2 linked regions of the Diceros bicornis minor genome follow. The protein of the gene in region 1 purifies or fractionates together with the protein of each later gene. This does not show direct contact. Links are inferred from orthologs where the notes say so. Each region holds a gene or a part of one and is shown on either strand. Other genes may lie near its edges.

The links. The genes of interacting proteins can lie anywhere in the genome.
Region 2: the proteins of MTMR9 (region 1) and ATP5IF1 purify together in Homo sapiens (affinity purification with mass spectrometry; 5 studies listed by BioGRID and IntAct, with this or other methods). This does not show direct contact. The link is inferred for Diceros bicornis minor from reciprocal best matches to the Homo sapiens genes MTMR9 and ATP5IF1.

Annotation. Positions count from the first base shown.
Region 1 is NC_080750.1:62,993,901-63,001,295, reverse strand, and holds the start of MTMR9 (myotubularin-related protein 9), read left to right. Parts: upstream 1-4,341; 5' UTR 4,342-4,427; coding exon 4,428-4,609; intron 4,610-7,395. UniProt on the Homo sapiens protein: Acts as an adapter for myotubularin-related phosphatases. Increases lipid phosphatase MTMR6 catalytic activity, specifically towards phosphatidylinositol 3,5-bisphosphate and MTMR6 binding affinity for phosphorylated phosphatidylinositols.
Region 2 is NC_080752.1:43,652,412-43,659,771, forward strand, and holds ATP5IF1 (ATPase inhibitor, mitochondrial), read left to right. Parts: upstream 1-4,727; 5' UTR 4,728-4,749; coding exon 4,750-4,836; intron 4,837-4,928; coding exon 4,929-5,020; intron 5,021-6,492; coding exon 6,493-6,640; 3' UTR 6,641-6,764; downstream 6,765-7,360. Other genes in the region: DNAJC8 (dnaJ homolog subfamily C member 8), read right to left, coding at 2,247-2,324.

The DNA of each region.
Region 1 (7,395 bases):
GGTAAAATCAGAGAGAGTAACCAAGGTGGGCTCAGGTCTCATGGGTGGCAATGTAGCACGGTGGCGAAGAGCACAGAGTCTGCGCCCGACTGCTTGGGTCTGCATTCTGATTTCATCACTTATTGCTGTCTGACCATGGAAAAGTTATTAAGAGCTCTATGCCTCAGTTTCCTCATCAGTAAAAGAAGAATCATAACCAACATTAGAGAATTGTAGAAGGGCTACATGAGTCAATACATGTAAGGCATTTAGCACAACATCTGAACACAGAGTAAACACTCAAAAATATGATATATATATATGATATATGCTATATGTATCACATTTTTTTTTAAAGATTTTATTTATTTATTTTATTTCCCCCCAAAGCCCCAGTAGATAGTTTTGTGTCATAGCTGCACATCCTTCTAGTTGCTGCATGTGGGACGCGGCCTCAGCATGGCCGGAAAAGCGGTGCGTCGGTGCACGCCCGGGATCCGAACCCGGGCGGCCAGCAGCAGAGTGCAAGCACTTAACCGCTAAGCCACGGGGCCGGCCCTGTATCACATTTATATATTATATATATCACATAAAATGTGATATATATGTGTGTATACATATATACATATCATGTGGACTCCGTGGTTTTGAAGCCAATATAATGTGGAGCACATAGTTTTGAAGGGAAATCAAGGAAGGCTTCCTAGAGGCAGTGACATAGAGATGAGATCTGAAGGATGATAGGAATTAGCAGGTCAAGGGACAAGGTATTAGGAATGAGGTGAGTATATAATAGGCAGAAGGAACACCGAGATTCTTTAAAGCAGTGCTATCTCAAACTTTCATGTGCATAAAAATCATCTAGGAATCTTGTTAAAGGGCAGATTCTGATTCAGTAGCTATGGAGTGGAACATTTCTAACAAAGTTCCCAAGGAATGCTGATGATGCTGGTCCCTGCCCTACTCTTCCACTTGGTAAAAAGGTTCTGAGTGCAAAACCTCAAAAGGAAACTGTGAGCTATTTAAGAACAGTTGGCGTGAAAATCACAAGGAATGGGTTTATGTGGGCTGTTGCGCTGGGTAGGGAGGGAGGAGGAGAGATAAGATCTGCAATGCTGATCACTGCCTAAGGGGCTAAATCACAAAGGGACTTATAAGTTAAGAAAAGAAAAACAGAAACTTGGAACAGCAAATAGGGCTTTAGCTGCCAAGTGGAAAGATGGGTTGGAAGGGAACCCCACTAGAAGACAGGGAACCAACTGAGAGGCTTTTCCTGTTAAGTAACAGAACGTGAGAAACGATGGTGGCCTGAACTACGGCAGTGGCCTTGGGAATGGAGAGAAGCGGTGGAATTCAAGAGCTATTAGAAGATACAATCAACAATTTGGTGATTGATTTGCTTGGGGGATGAAGGGGATAGAGAACACAAGAAAGACATGCATGAGGTTATCAGGTTCGTTTCAAGTGCCTACAGTCCACGTATAATTACAAAGCACATGGAGAATAGCTGCTCATCAATGGCACACAGGCAGCGTCTTCTCCATTTTAGATGCTCCTTCTACTTTTGGCAATTTTTGACCTGCTTTCTTCAAACTACCTTCAAACTGCCTCAATTTCTACTAACTACTCAAGGCCTAGTAGAGAAACACAAAACTAGGCAAGTAAATCTGTACTCCAAAATTTAGCACTTACTCTCTTATTTTGTTCATTAGTTGTGTGGGTGTGTCGGCCTTCCCAAATGAGCTATTACTTTTGGAGGGCAAGGGCTGTGTCAAATCTGTTGTTTCCATTTCCCACAGTGCTGATGAACAAGTCAGCACTTAATACATGCTGGCTGACTATTTGACAGAATAACTTCTAGAAGATTACCTATCAATGCTGTTTATTATCTCACAAAAGATGATAAAAATAATAATATTTGTAAGGTGTTGAGTGCTTTATATGAATTATAAATGCCATCACCTTCTTTGGTTTATCAGAATCCTCTGAGACCTTTACATCCAGGGAATTTGGATAATGACTTTGACTAAAGCTTCATTGAATCATGTCAACGGAATGGAAGCCTATCCCATTACCTCGAACTCTACTGCCATCTACTGCTCATGTAGTAAGTTAACATATTGTGGTCCCCACTCCCTCCATTCTTGACTATTGAATCTTCGTTTTCTTGAGATCTCAATGGCTTTCTATGCTGAGCTTCAACCTAGAGTAGATGTAATTTTCTGAAAGTTTACCGTGTTCCGTTATAACAACCCAGCATGATATTGATAATTTCTCTCGTGGGCAAAAAGTTTATGTCTTTACAGAACATTAAACATTTTAAATTTAATGACACAATAGTCCTTTCATAGGCTTTTTTTTTCTTCTGGAAATCTAAAAGAAAAAAGTCATGAAATTTCTGAAGAATTTTTCCTTAGCTCTGGTAGATATCATTAAACTTGACATCTATCTTGGTTACACTCCCACTTAGGGTGTAAATCCTACTCATCCTTCAATGTCCTCCTTTCAAATGATACCTTTTCTGTAAAACTTTCCCTGATTCTTCATTCTGGAAGTAAATTCTCCCTTCCACAACTGGTAATTGTTATAATGAACCACATAGTGGAAGGACAACAAAAATTCCAATTAAAAAAATAGCTTTATAAGTTATTTCCCCTCATTCTCGCTTCTCTGTTGGTTCCTGTTTTTCTTTTGCAGACAAATAAAATAAAACGAGACTCAGGTGTAACAATCTTATAAACCGTTTTGTTTTAAGAAGAGAACATTTGGGGCCAGCATGGGGGTGTAGCTGTTAAGTCCTCCTGACCCGCTTCATCAGCCCCGGGTTCCCCCAGTTCCCATCCTGGGCACTGACCTGCACACTGCTCATCAAGCCACGCTTAGGCAGCATCCCACACAGAGCAACCAGAACCATGTACAACTATGACATACAAGTATCTACCGGGGCTTTGGGGAGAAAGAAGGGAAAACAAGGAGGAAGATTGGCAACAGATGTTGGCTCAGGGCCAATCTTCCTCAAAACAAAAAAAGAGAAGACGACCAGAACATTTTAGGAAGGGCAAGGACAAAAGCAAGGACATGTGTTGGGTGATGATGAGATTTGAGGCAATTTATTTTGTCTTTGCTGTGAGACTTTTGCCAACTCGCTGTTCTTAGGTACTAGATGGTGAGGATTTCAAAGGTTAATGAAGTGACAGCAGACTGGGACTCAAACCCTTATATATTTCCCCCCTAATTCCCTATCTTAGAATGAAAATGACAGTTTAAGGGGAGAACGGCACCAAGCAAGGAAAACTAATTTGAGTAAACTTCTGGCATAATCTAGGTGTCTGGGAGTAGTTCAGTCGGGTTGTATTTCATGGGGAGGCTGTGCGGTGGTGACCAATGCCCCAACGCCTTGGATTTCATAGATCTAGATGGAAGTCCGGCCTTTGCTACAGACTAACTGCGCTTTAGCAAGTCGCTTGAGCTTCCTCCCAGGACAGGATTAGTCACTTCCCCTTCTGTGCACTGTACGTACGTCTACCTAGGTGCCTCTCACGGGTGTCTGTTCCCCTCCGTCTGGGTCAAGGTCACAGCACCCCGGCGCGGCGCTCTCTGGGAGTCCGCGGCGCCCGCCCCGTGACCCGCCCTTACCCCTGGCGGCTTCTCTGGAGTCAGTCACCGATTCGGTCCCACCCTTGCCATCTCTTCACGGCGAATGGGTGAAAATCGCTGCAATTTACGGCAGCCCCACCCTCAAGAGAGCCCTTGGAGGGATGACTACTCGAGTGGAGGGAGGCAGGTCAGCGACCTCTTCTCGTCACCCCATCGTCCCCGGCCTTTTACGAACAGTATTTGGAGGGGGTGGAGGTGCAGCGGTGGGCGTGAAGGCCAGAAAGAACTTTTTCCTGGTAGGAACACAAATCTTCGATTCTCGCTGTTTCCGGAAGCATTCTTATGGGACCTAGGCGGGGACCGACTTCCGGCTCTGACTTCCCCGTCCTCCAGGTTTCGAGCTCCGCCGCTTCCGCCCGGAGTTGCTCTAGGCTCCGGCTGCGAGCAGCTCCTTCCGTCAGGAGTCCCTAGCGGCTCGGACTTGGAAACTGGCCCTAAAGCGGCCTCCTCCGTCTCCCCTCGGCCTGTCCGCCGGAGGCCGGGTCCCCAGGAGACGGCGGCTGCGGCTGGGCCTGTGGCGGAGCGTTCTCTCTGGCCGAGCCCCGGGCCTAGAGGGAGCGGGAGCTGCGGGGGAAACGCCCCGGCCTGGCCCAGCCCCAGCGCGGGCTTCCCGCGGCCAGTGACCGTGGCCACAGGCCTCGCCGCGCCCACTCCGGCCTGGGGCGGGGCCCGGCCTCCCCGCCCCTCCGGCCAGCCCAGCGCCGGGTCCTTCTCCGCCTCAGCCCCGCGGCGGTGTAACCGCCTAGCACGCACGCCACCCGGCAGTGCCCCGGCTCCGGCTGCTGGGGAACATGGAGTTTGCGGAGCTGATTAGGACCCCACGGGTGGACAATGTGGTGCTGCACCGGCCTTTCTATCCCGCCGTCGAGGGGACCTTGTGTCTGACTGGCCACCACCTGATCCTGTCCTCCCGGCAGGACAACACGGAGGAGCTGTGGCTCCTCCATTCAAACATCGACGCCATCGACAAGCGGTGAGTCCCGTCCCACCTTCTCTTCCGCGGGAGCCTGGGTTCCCGGGTGGACCCAGCGCCCAGCCAGCCCGCAGAACGAGCCCTCTGTGGCCTGGGTTGAGGATTTGAGTTTTAGAAAGCAGAAAACCATCCAAATGAGATACCCGGTTTCCATGAAGTCTGGATGGAATTCCCAGGGTTATCACATGTTTATTGTCCTCGCGATTCTCATTTTTGGTACATACACCATTTGTGTGGATTTTTAACGTTTTCTTTTTAAATTTCTTCTTGCACCATTACATTCCTTGAATATTAATCGTCTATCACAGTTCATGAAGTTGTGATTGAATGTGATTTAGGTAAAGTCTTTACTGGCCACTTTTGAGGAAAACTCAAAGAACTCAGATGTAGTGTCTAAATTCCACAGAACCTTCCCCCCCCTCAAAATTCTTCAGTTTATCATATTTCTCCTAATTCTTACTTTCTGGGTCATCAGTTTAGTAGTTCCCACTATGGGAGATTATAATATCTTTTATGTATTTATCTTTACTCAGTTCTGCTTTTGGAAAGAACAGAGTTGGCTCTTAAGCAAAGGTATTAATTAATTAACTTTTTTTCCATGCACCCTAGACTCTGTCTTTCTAAGGTAGTGTCTCAGAGTCAAAAAGTTATATTTCCATCTGCGGTCAAAATTCCCATTTCCCCAATAGCTCTGTGTACTTAGTCTAGCCAGGAGAAGATAAATAGATTATCCAATTTATACTAAAGTATAAATGAATGACAACAGCTTTTCTATTATCTTTCAGGAGAATTTGAATATAAAGAAGATTCCTAGAGAGGTTATGTGTTAACAGAAAAAAATTTCCAATGGTAGAATTTGAAACAGTAAGAGTGAAGTGGTGATAGATTTATTTTTCCGAGCAGAGGGCTCCTACTACAGTCTTCTTCAGGTCACCTTCTCCTTTGTAAAAGTTTTCAGTGGTCTCTCCTTGCCTGCATAATAAAGTCTTAAACCCCTTAGTCTGTCATTCATGGCAAGCCATGTTTTGGCTCTAAGCTATGTTTCCTACCTTAGTTCTTGCCATTCATTTTCATGAACCCTTTTCACTAGCCAGTCCTCACTCTTTATTTTGCTCATGCATATGCTGCATTCTCTCATGTCTGTATTTTACCGACACGCTTCCTTCTGCCTGGAATGCCTTGCTCCTCCCAAGCTTGTTAAACATTTATTGAATGTCGTTATGGTCCAGACATTTTGTGAGGCATTAAGGACACCAAGATGAATGAAATATAGTTCTTGTCTTTCAGGAGTTGATAGGCTACCATCCAACTGTTACCCATCTATCAATATTCAGTTTAACCATTTCAACTGCCAGCTCTTTCACACATTCTTCTGTTAATCCCACAACCAGAAGTAATTTCCCTCACCTTGGAATCCTGTAGCTCTTTAATTATACCTCTTTCATAGGTGTATATTAAAATTTGTATTTTGATAGTTGCATGTATGTTAGCTCCTTGAAGCAAGGACTTGCATTTGGTTAATTTTTATTTCCTTCAAAACTCCTCTGACTTGGGTGGATAGGCACATTGGAAATAAACAAAGAATTGACCACTGAATGGTCATTGGTGGCATAGAATACAAATTAGAGTTTCTCCATGCCATCAACTCTCTTGCTTATTTAACTTTTTTTGTGGTTGCTCTTCACTCTTTCATTTCATCATATTTACCTAGCATTTACTACATGGTGGGCCTGGTAGGGCTTAAAGAAGTATATAAGACATGGACCTTTTTTTTTGTGTGTGAGGAAGACCAGCCCTGAGCTAACATCTGTGCTAATCCTCCTCTTTTTGCTGAGGAAGACCAGCCCTGAGCTAACATCTATTGCCAATCCTCCTTTTTTTCCCCCAAAGCCCCAGTAGATAGTTGTATGTCATAGTTGCACACCCTTCTAGTTGCTGTATGTGGGGCGCGGCCTCAGCATGGCCGGAGAAGCCGTGCGTCGGTGCGCGCCCGGGATCCGAACACGGGCCGCCAGTAGCGGAGCGCGCGCACTTAACCGCTAAGCCACGGGACGGCCCAGACATAGACCTTTTTAATCTGCTAGAGGGGAAATGACAAACTGTGCACACGTTTATCTTTTTCCTGGGAAGCAGCATGATGTAATGGAAAGAGCATGAGCTAGGTGGTCAGATCAGAGTTTGTTTAATTGTTGCTTTCAAGAAATATTTACTTCCATGTGTCTTGTAGGTGCTGAGCACTGTCTTGGCTCTGCAGATGCAGTGGTGACTAAGACAGACTAGGAGCTTATGTATTAGTGGGGGAGATGAACATTCAAGTTAATCAACAAATAAATATATAACAATGTCAGGTAATAAGTGCCAGGAAGGAAAATAAAGGAAGATGAGAGGATAGAGAATGCCAGGAGGCAGTGTATTTACAAAGAATTTCAGAGAAGACAAGTGACATTTGAATGAATGACATCCAAATGAAGGGAGGAAGCTAGCAGTGTGAATACTGGAGGAAAGAGCATTCCAGCCAGAGGCAACTGGGAATACAAAGACCTGAGACAGGAACTTATCTGGCATGTACCAGGAAGAACCAAGACTCCAGTGGCTGGAGGCCAGTGAGCAAGGAGTAGAGGCTAGGAGGATGGCAGAAACTGGTTGGAGGGGTAAACAGGGGCCAGATCCTGTAGGACCTTACATGCTGTTGTGATGGTTTTCATGGGGAGCCCTTGGAGAGTTGAAAGCAAGGAAGTAGCAGCTGATAGACTTTTTAGAAGATGATTCTGGCCGCCGGCAGAAAA
Region 2 (7,360 bases), on another chromosome or scaffold:
GTTAAGTGCACGCACTCTGCTGCGGTGGCTGGGGATTCGCTGGTTCGGATCCCGGGTTCACACCGACACACTGCCTGGCAAGCCATGCTGTGGCGGCATCCCATATAAAGTGGAGGAAGATGGGCACGGATGTTAGCCCAGGGCTGGTCTTCCTCAGCAAAAAAAAAAAAAAAAAAGAGGAGGATTGGCAGATGTTAGCACAGGGCTGATCTCCTCACCAAAAAAAAAAAAAAAAAAATGTATATGAGAGGGAGCAAATAACTCTGCCTACCTAACTCTAATGGAGTTATTAGAAAAATCCCTGACTTGAAGACAGTGCTAAGAACAGGCACCAGGCAGTCCTGGGAAAACATCCTTGGTGCCACTGCCAGAATAAGAATGCTAACTGGAATGAATCTCTGGTGTGTTATATAACATTTTTATTTCTATGGCCAAAACAAGATTAGAAAGAATTTCAGTAACATAAAAAGACACTGTCTCTCAATATCTTCCCTCTTCACTCATTTTAAAATAGCATGCCACTCCCTCCTACTCTCTACCTTCTTTCCCAGGCTTATTTTTCCTCAAAGCACCTATCACTACCTGACACTATATTGTACATCTGTTTACCGATTATCCTTCTCCATAGAACACAAGCTCCACGAAAACAGGATTTTTCTCTCTGTCCTTCACTACCGAATCTCCAGCACCTAAGCAGTAGCCTAGTACATGTCAGGCGCTCAATAAACACTGGTTGAATGATGACTGAAGGGTCCTCCTTTAGGTTCTTTCCCCCGTCCAATTCAAACAAACCAGGATTGCTTTTTTTTTTTTTTTAACTAAGAGAGAGTAAGTGAAACAAGTTTCACTATAATTAGTAAGTAGTCATTAGAGGCCAATAAATTATGGTACCAGCGCACCAACATTTTCAAAGGAATCAGGCATTTCAAAAGGACAGGCTATAACGAATGTGCTACTTTCTGTTTTTAAAGTTAATACTTTGGAGAAACTACTATGTAACAAGCACTGTTACAAATACCAGACATAAAAGATGAATGTGACATGCTGCTTAACTCTGAGCAGTCCACAGCCTGGTGGGGAGCAACTCCACTCCTCAAATCCACGCCAACATTACGAGGTTCGTCTTCAGCCTTGCTTTAACTCTTAGAAAGATGCTCCTGTTTTATTATATTTTATGAAACCCTTCCATACACATTAATTGCTTTAACCTTCATAAAAACTCTTGTTTTGGGCCGGCCTGGTGGCTTAGCGGTTAAGCGCTCGCGCTCTGCTGCTGGCGGTCCGGGTTCCAATCCCGGGCGCACACCGACATACCACTTCTCTGGCCATGCTGAGGCCACGTCCCACGTGCAGCAACTAGAAGGATGTGCAGCTATGACATACAACTATCTACTGGGGCTTTGGGGGAAAAATAAATAAATAAAATTATAAAAAAAAAAAACTCTTGTTTTAATATTAACTCTCGTTTTACAGACGTGGAAACTGAGGAGCTGCAAAATCAATGCCTTGAAAGAGTTCGATTGCAGACAAATTAACTGCCTTGCATAAATCCAATCAGAGGTCCTCTGACTCCAAACGGCATGCTCTTCACTTATTCATGCATTCATTTACTCAACATACATTTACTGAGCGACCACTATGTACTAGGCGCTGGAGATGCGATATAAAAGAGGCTCAGACCAACCCTACTCCTGTCCTAACATGATACCAAGCTATCTGCTCTAAGACCTGGAACAAATTATTTCACCTCCCTAAACCTCAGGTTTGTCATCTGTAAAATGGAGATAATGCCTACCTGGCATGATGCACAGTGCCTGGCGTTCGCGAATGGCAGAAATAACCACTAATACAACTCATTACAGAGAACTAAGTGTAGAAAGCGCTGCTGTTTAGAATAAAATGGGGGCCAAGACGGTTAAGTCGCCCCCAGGAAGGCCCAGCCCCTGCCAGCCCCGGACTCCGCGGACTTGGGGAACTCTGCGCGCGCCCAGGCACTTCGTTGGCTACACTCGCCGTCTCCTCGCAGACGTCGGACCCCCCTCCCCCGACCTTTTCCGTTGCCCAGGGGATCCCCCAGCAGCTAGCAGGGAGAGATGTACACACGCCCCCAGCCCCCCGCCGCCCCGAAGGCCGAACAGGAGGAGCCGCCCAACGGTCCAAGCCAGGAGGACCACTGCCTTCACCCGCTGGCAGAGCAGGCCCGAGCGGGGTCGCCCGGGTGCCACTCTTCCTCACTCGGCGTTCACCTCACTGTAGAAGGTCATAAATGCTTCTTCTGTGCTGCCTCCGCCGGCCGAAGCCCCACTCTCTCCTGGAGCCGCCATTTCCCCGGCCCAGCCACCACGTGACTCTTCTGCGCAGGCGCTGCCTCACGTGATTCTTACAGGCCCTCTCTAGCCCCGCCCTCTTCTTTGCGACCCTTAAAGGGCTGGAAGCCTAAGGGGGCACTTTTAATCTACGTTCGTAAATTGTTTTTTTTAATTGAGGTGAAATACACATAACACACAATTAACCACTTTAAAGTGAACAATTTAGTGGCCTTTAGTATAGTCACAGTGTTATGCAATCACCACCTCTATCTAGATCCAAAACAATTTCATCACCTGGGAAGGATACCTGGCACCTATTAAGCAGTCCCTTCCCATTCCCCCTTCTTCCTAGCCCCTGACAACCACCAATCTGTGTTCTGTCTCTGGATTTACCTATTCTGGACATTTCATATAAATGCAGTCATACAATATATGACCTTTTGTATCTGGCTTCTTTTACTTAGCATAATCTTCAAGGTTTGTCCAAGGTATAGCATGTATCATTACTTCATTACTTTTTATGGCTGAATAATATTCCACTGTATGTATATACCACAGTTCATTTATTCATTCATCAGTTGATGGACATTTGGGTTGTTTCCATCTTTTGGCTATTATGAAATAATGTTGCTGTGAACATGCATGTACATGCATTTGTTTGAATACCAGTTTTCAATTTTGGGGGATATATACCTAGAAGGAAAATTGCTGAGTCACATGGTAATTCCATATTTAACTTTTTGAGCAACTGCCAAGATGTTTTCCACAGCAGCTGAACCATTTTACATTCCTACAAGCAACGTGTGAGGGTTGCAATTGCTCCACATCCTCACCAACACTTATTTTCCATTTTTTAAAATTGTAGCCATCCTAGTGCCTAAATGGATCTTTTGCACAAACAGAAAGACCCTCTACTTGATGCCTAGCCTAGGAGATAATTAAGAAACAGCTGTATCTGAGAACTAGAAACAGAGTTTCTGAAACAGGAATGGCACTTAAATATCATCTGGAGGGGCCAGCCTGGTGGCGCAGCAGTTAAGTTCACGTGTTCTGCTTGCACAGCCCGGGGTTCGCCAGTTCAGATCCTGGGCGTGGATCTATGCACCATTCAGCAAGCCATGCTGAGGCAGCGTCCCACATAGAAGAACTAGAAGGACCTACAACTAGGATATACAACTATGTACTGGGGCTTTGGGGAGAAAAAAGAGGAAGATTGGCAACAGATGTTAGCTCAGGGCCAATCTTCCTAAAATATATCTCTCTCTCTCTAGAAACACACCAAATCATTATCACTAGGTAGTGGGCTTGTAAGTGATGATTATTTCTATTCTTCTGCTTTTGTGTTTTTCCAAGTTTTCTGCAGTGAACATTTGAAAATGTGCCCTGCAGCCATTTCCTCCCATTTAAGTCATACAAACTAGGACTGGTATTTTTTCCAACCAAAAGATGATCAACAAAAACAGTTCTACAGTTTCATAGAAGGCAAAGAAAGTATTTTTATAATCATGAATAAGATAGATAATCTGGCCCAATCCTCTCATCTAAAAGAGAAAAAAACTGGGTCCAGAGAGAGAAAATGAGGTAGGCAAAGGCTATAAACTACTGTCTTGTTCACATTTGTTAGAGGGCTGAAGGAACATCAAGGCAAAGCCTTCCCTAGACTTCTACTTATGCTCTTTTCTACTTCATTGCACCAGATTGCCAAAATTACAGTTAACGTATTAATGCATTTCACAAATATTAATTCAGTGCCTATTTGATCAAGGCCCTGATAACTTCAGAAGGTGAAAAGTGCAAAAAGAGAGAAACAGAACAAAACAGGGAACTATGATAGAATGACTAAGGAGGTCAGGGAAGGTTTCTCTGAGAAGGTGACACTTAAGCTGAGACTTGAGAGTGAAATGTCAATGCAACGAAAGAACATTGACACCTCTTAAGAGACCATATACATACACATAAAAAATTTTTTTCCCAACAACCCGAAGTCGGGGCATCCGGGACTTATCCCCGCCACGCCCATTACCCATCTTATTGACGCTAGTAGTCCAGGAAAAGGAAGACTTCCTTTGGGTTGTTTAATAATAACAATTTTAGGATTGGAATCGTGGGGTGGCAGTGGATGCCACGCCTCACTCTGAGGAATCCAAGAGCCGAAATGCCGGCTTCTGACCTTCTCCTCCCCTTCCTCTCCAATCTCCTCCATTATTCTCCAGTCCTTTAGGCTTTGAGCCCTTGCTAGGAATTGGCTAAGAATAGGCCCGCCTCTCGCTCACGATTCGCTGAGAACTACAGGAACCCCGCCTCCTCCCTCTCATGATTCGCTACTCCTAGGTTCATCCCGCCTCTCCACCGAAACGATTGGCTGCCCGGCCATCAGCGCTGTTAGCGCCTATAGAGAGGCTGCGCCTCCAGTGACCCGAGAGCTGCGGCACTGACAGCAATGGCAGTCACGGCTCTGGCGGCGCAGATGCGGCTCGGCGTGTGGGGCGCGAGGGCCATGCAAGCCCGAGGCTTCAGCTCCGAACGGGTACGCCGGCGGCAGTGTCCGCTGCCCCAGCCCTGAGCGCGGATCCCATCTCCCCCTCCGCGCTTTACCAATGTCCCGGTCTTTCTCCGCAGTCAAAGGATCACGACGCCCCCGCGGGCTCGATCCGGGAGGGCGGAGGGGCCTTCGGAAAGAGAGAGCAGGCTGAAGAGGAACGATACTTCCGGTGAGGCCCACGGGGTCCCGAGTCCAGCCCTAGATCTCTCAGGGCCTTCCAGTCGCCCCACCCATCCCTCCCTGGTGCCCTGGGGTGCCCTATCCCCCAACAGAACTCCCGGGCCCCCGAACCCATTACGCCCAACACTTGAGGTCCTGACTGTTGCCACCTATAGGGCGCTCCCAGCCCTGCCAAATGTCCCAAGGCCCCCAAACGCCAGCCATTTCCACCTGCGGGTGTCCAGAACTCGCAAACCACGGCTCCACTCTTCCTGAATCATTTACCATCCCCACCCGTGGAATGCTCCCCAGGTCGTGCGAAACGCCCCTCAGATACTTCGCAGAGTGCCCGGATCCGACCGTCCAATACTTGCAGACCCTCTGAGCCTGACTCCCTCGGCCCTCACCCACCTTTCACCCCTCTACGCACTCTTTTCTCCTCTACACGCCTTAGTTTTGCAAGCCCCGCAGGGATGGATTCCCTGACTCTTCAGACCCTCTCACCTGTTTCTAGACCCCCACGTGTCTCCGCCAGAGTGAGTGGGTCATATGAGCTGGTTGGTGGCAGCTGCTCACGGTTGGAATCCACACATACACACACTTCCTGGAGACTTTTGCCCTGCCCCGCCCAGCCCAGCCGCTGGGCTATATAGATTTCTCTCTCTCCTTTAGAATCTGGGCCTGTCTACCCTCTTTTTCAGCCCTGAGTTATCTTTTACTGACTTCTGTTCACGGTGGGGAGCAGCACGGGACTAATCTCGCTTCTGCTTCTCCTTTGCCCTATCTGTTCACTTCTGCCCTCTCTTGCTCACTCTTAAGAATCATCACCATGGCACCTGCCATACCAGAGAGCCAAGGTACAGCCCTTAGAGACCATCTAATTGGGCCCTACATTATACAGTTAAGGAAAACTGAGGCCCAAATGTGGCCAAACCAATGTTTGAATCGTCCCCTCTTGAGACTTAAATTGGACTGCCAAGTACTGACCATGCAGAGACCCCTTCTTTTTTTTCCTTCATTTTGGCCTTTACAGTGAGCCATGCATTTCTCTAGGCAAAGAAAGCCCTAGATAAATTGGGAGAGGATGTGACTATTTGTCTTTAACTATACCCGTTTGTCGACCTCCTTCCTTTTGCTCTTTTTTTCCACAAAAAGGGATTCTCTTCTCTGGGTTGTTCCTCTAATAAGGTATTGGAAATTTGTCACACCTCTCTGGAGTTTTCTACTCTAGCTCATTAATGATGGAATTTCAGGTACTAGAACCAGGAAAATGAAATCATTTGGGTCATCTAAAGATGGATACATCTTAAGATGGTGTATTCTTTCAGTAGTGGGGCTTAAGGAGGTAGAAGAGGATGACCAGCCAGACTCGCATGGGATTGGGACTCCTGTGTCCTTTGCCTTAGGTATTATGGGTTATGCATAGAGATCTCTTTGGGGTGAAGGATTGGGATTAAACCCAGAATGACTGTGTCCTTGTAGAAAGCGGACTAAAGAACAACTGGCAGCCTTGAAGAAACACCATGAAGATGAGATCTCTCATCATGTAAAGGAGATTGAGCATCTGCAGAAAGAAATTGAGCGGCACAAGCAGAGGATCAAGACACTAAAAGATCATGATGATGATTAAGTGCACACAGTTCCCCATGGAATGGCTACATATCATTGCCCACTTCTAAACCAAACATAGTTCTGGTTTAATTAATATCTAACTGTGTGCTGCCAACAGATTATAATAAATTGTCATCAATGTACTGTGTCTAATGCCTTCTTCTACTATCTGGAGAGGGGTAAGGGGACACACTACTGGACTGCTAAAATGAATCAGAGAGGGTACCTGCAATAGGGAGCTTGTAGACAAAGCACAGTGTGATAAGTGCTATGCAGCATGGGGAAGAAGGGAGGAGACAGGTGATACAGGGAAAATCCCCTTTCCTATCTTGACACTACTCAAAGGTGTTCAGAGAAAGCTTCTTGAAGGATAAACCTCAATCCAAGGCATAAGGACAAGAGCAGCCTGGAAAACAGGAACGATGGCTTAAAAAGATACAATGCAAGGCACCATCAGTCTATTTTGCATTTATATAATGGATTACTACTTCCCATGAACTAGTTATCCTTGTTCTAATCATCCTTGGGCAGATTGAGAGAACTGGAATTAGAAGTCATATATTGCTTACGGTTACTCAGTACACTGGAGTTGAGACTTTGTGTCCAGGTTTTTCCACGCCTCATCCAAGCATTAATAACAGAATTATTTCTTAGGTTATATTTTGCTTTGCCGAGTGTACTCTTAATTCAAATTAGATTTTAAGGCCTTGTTTAACTAAATTGTTACACAAACTAGTTG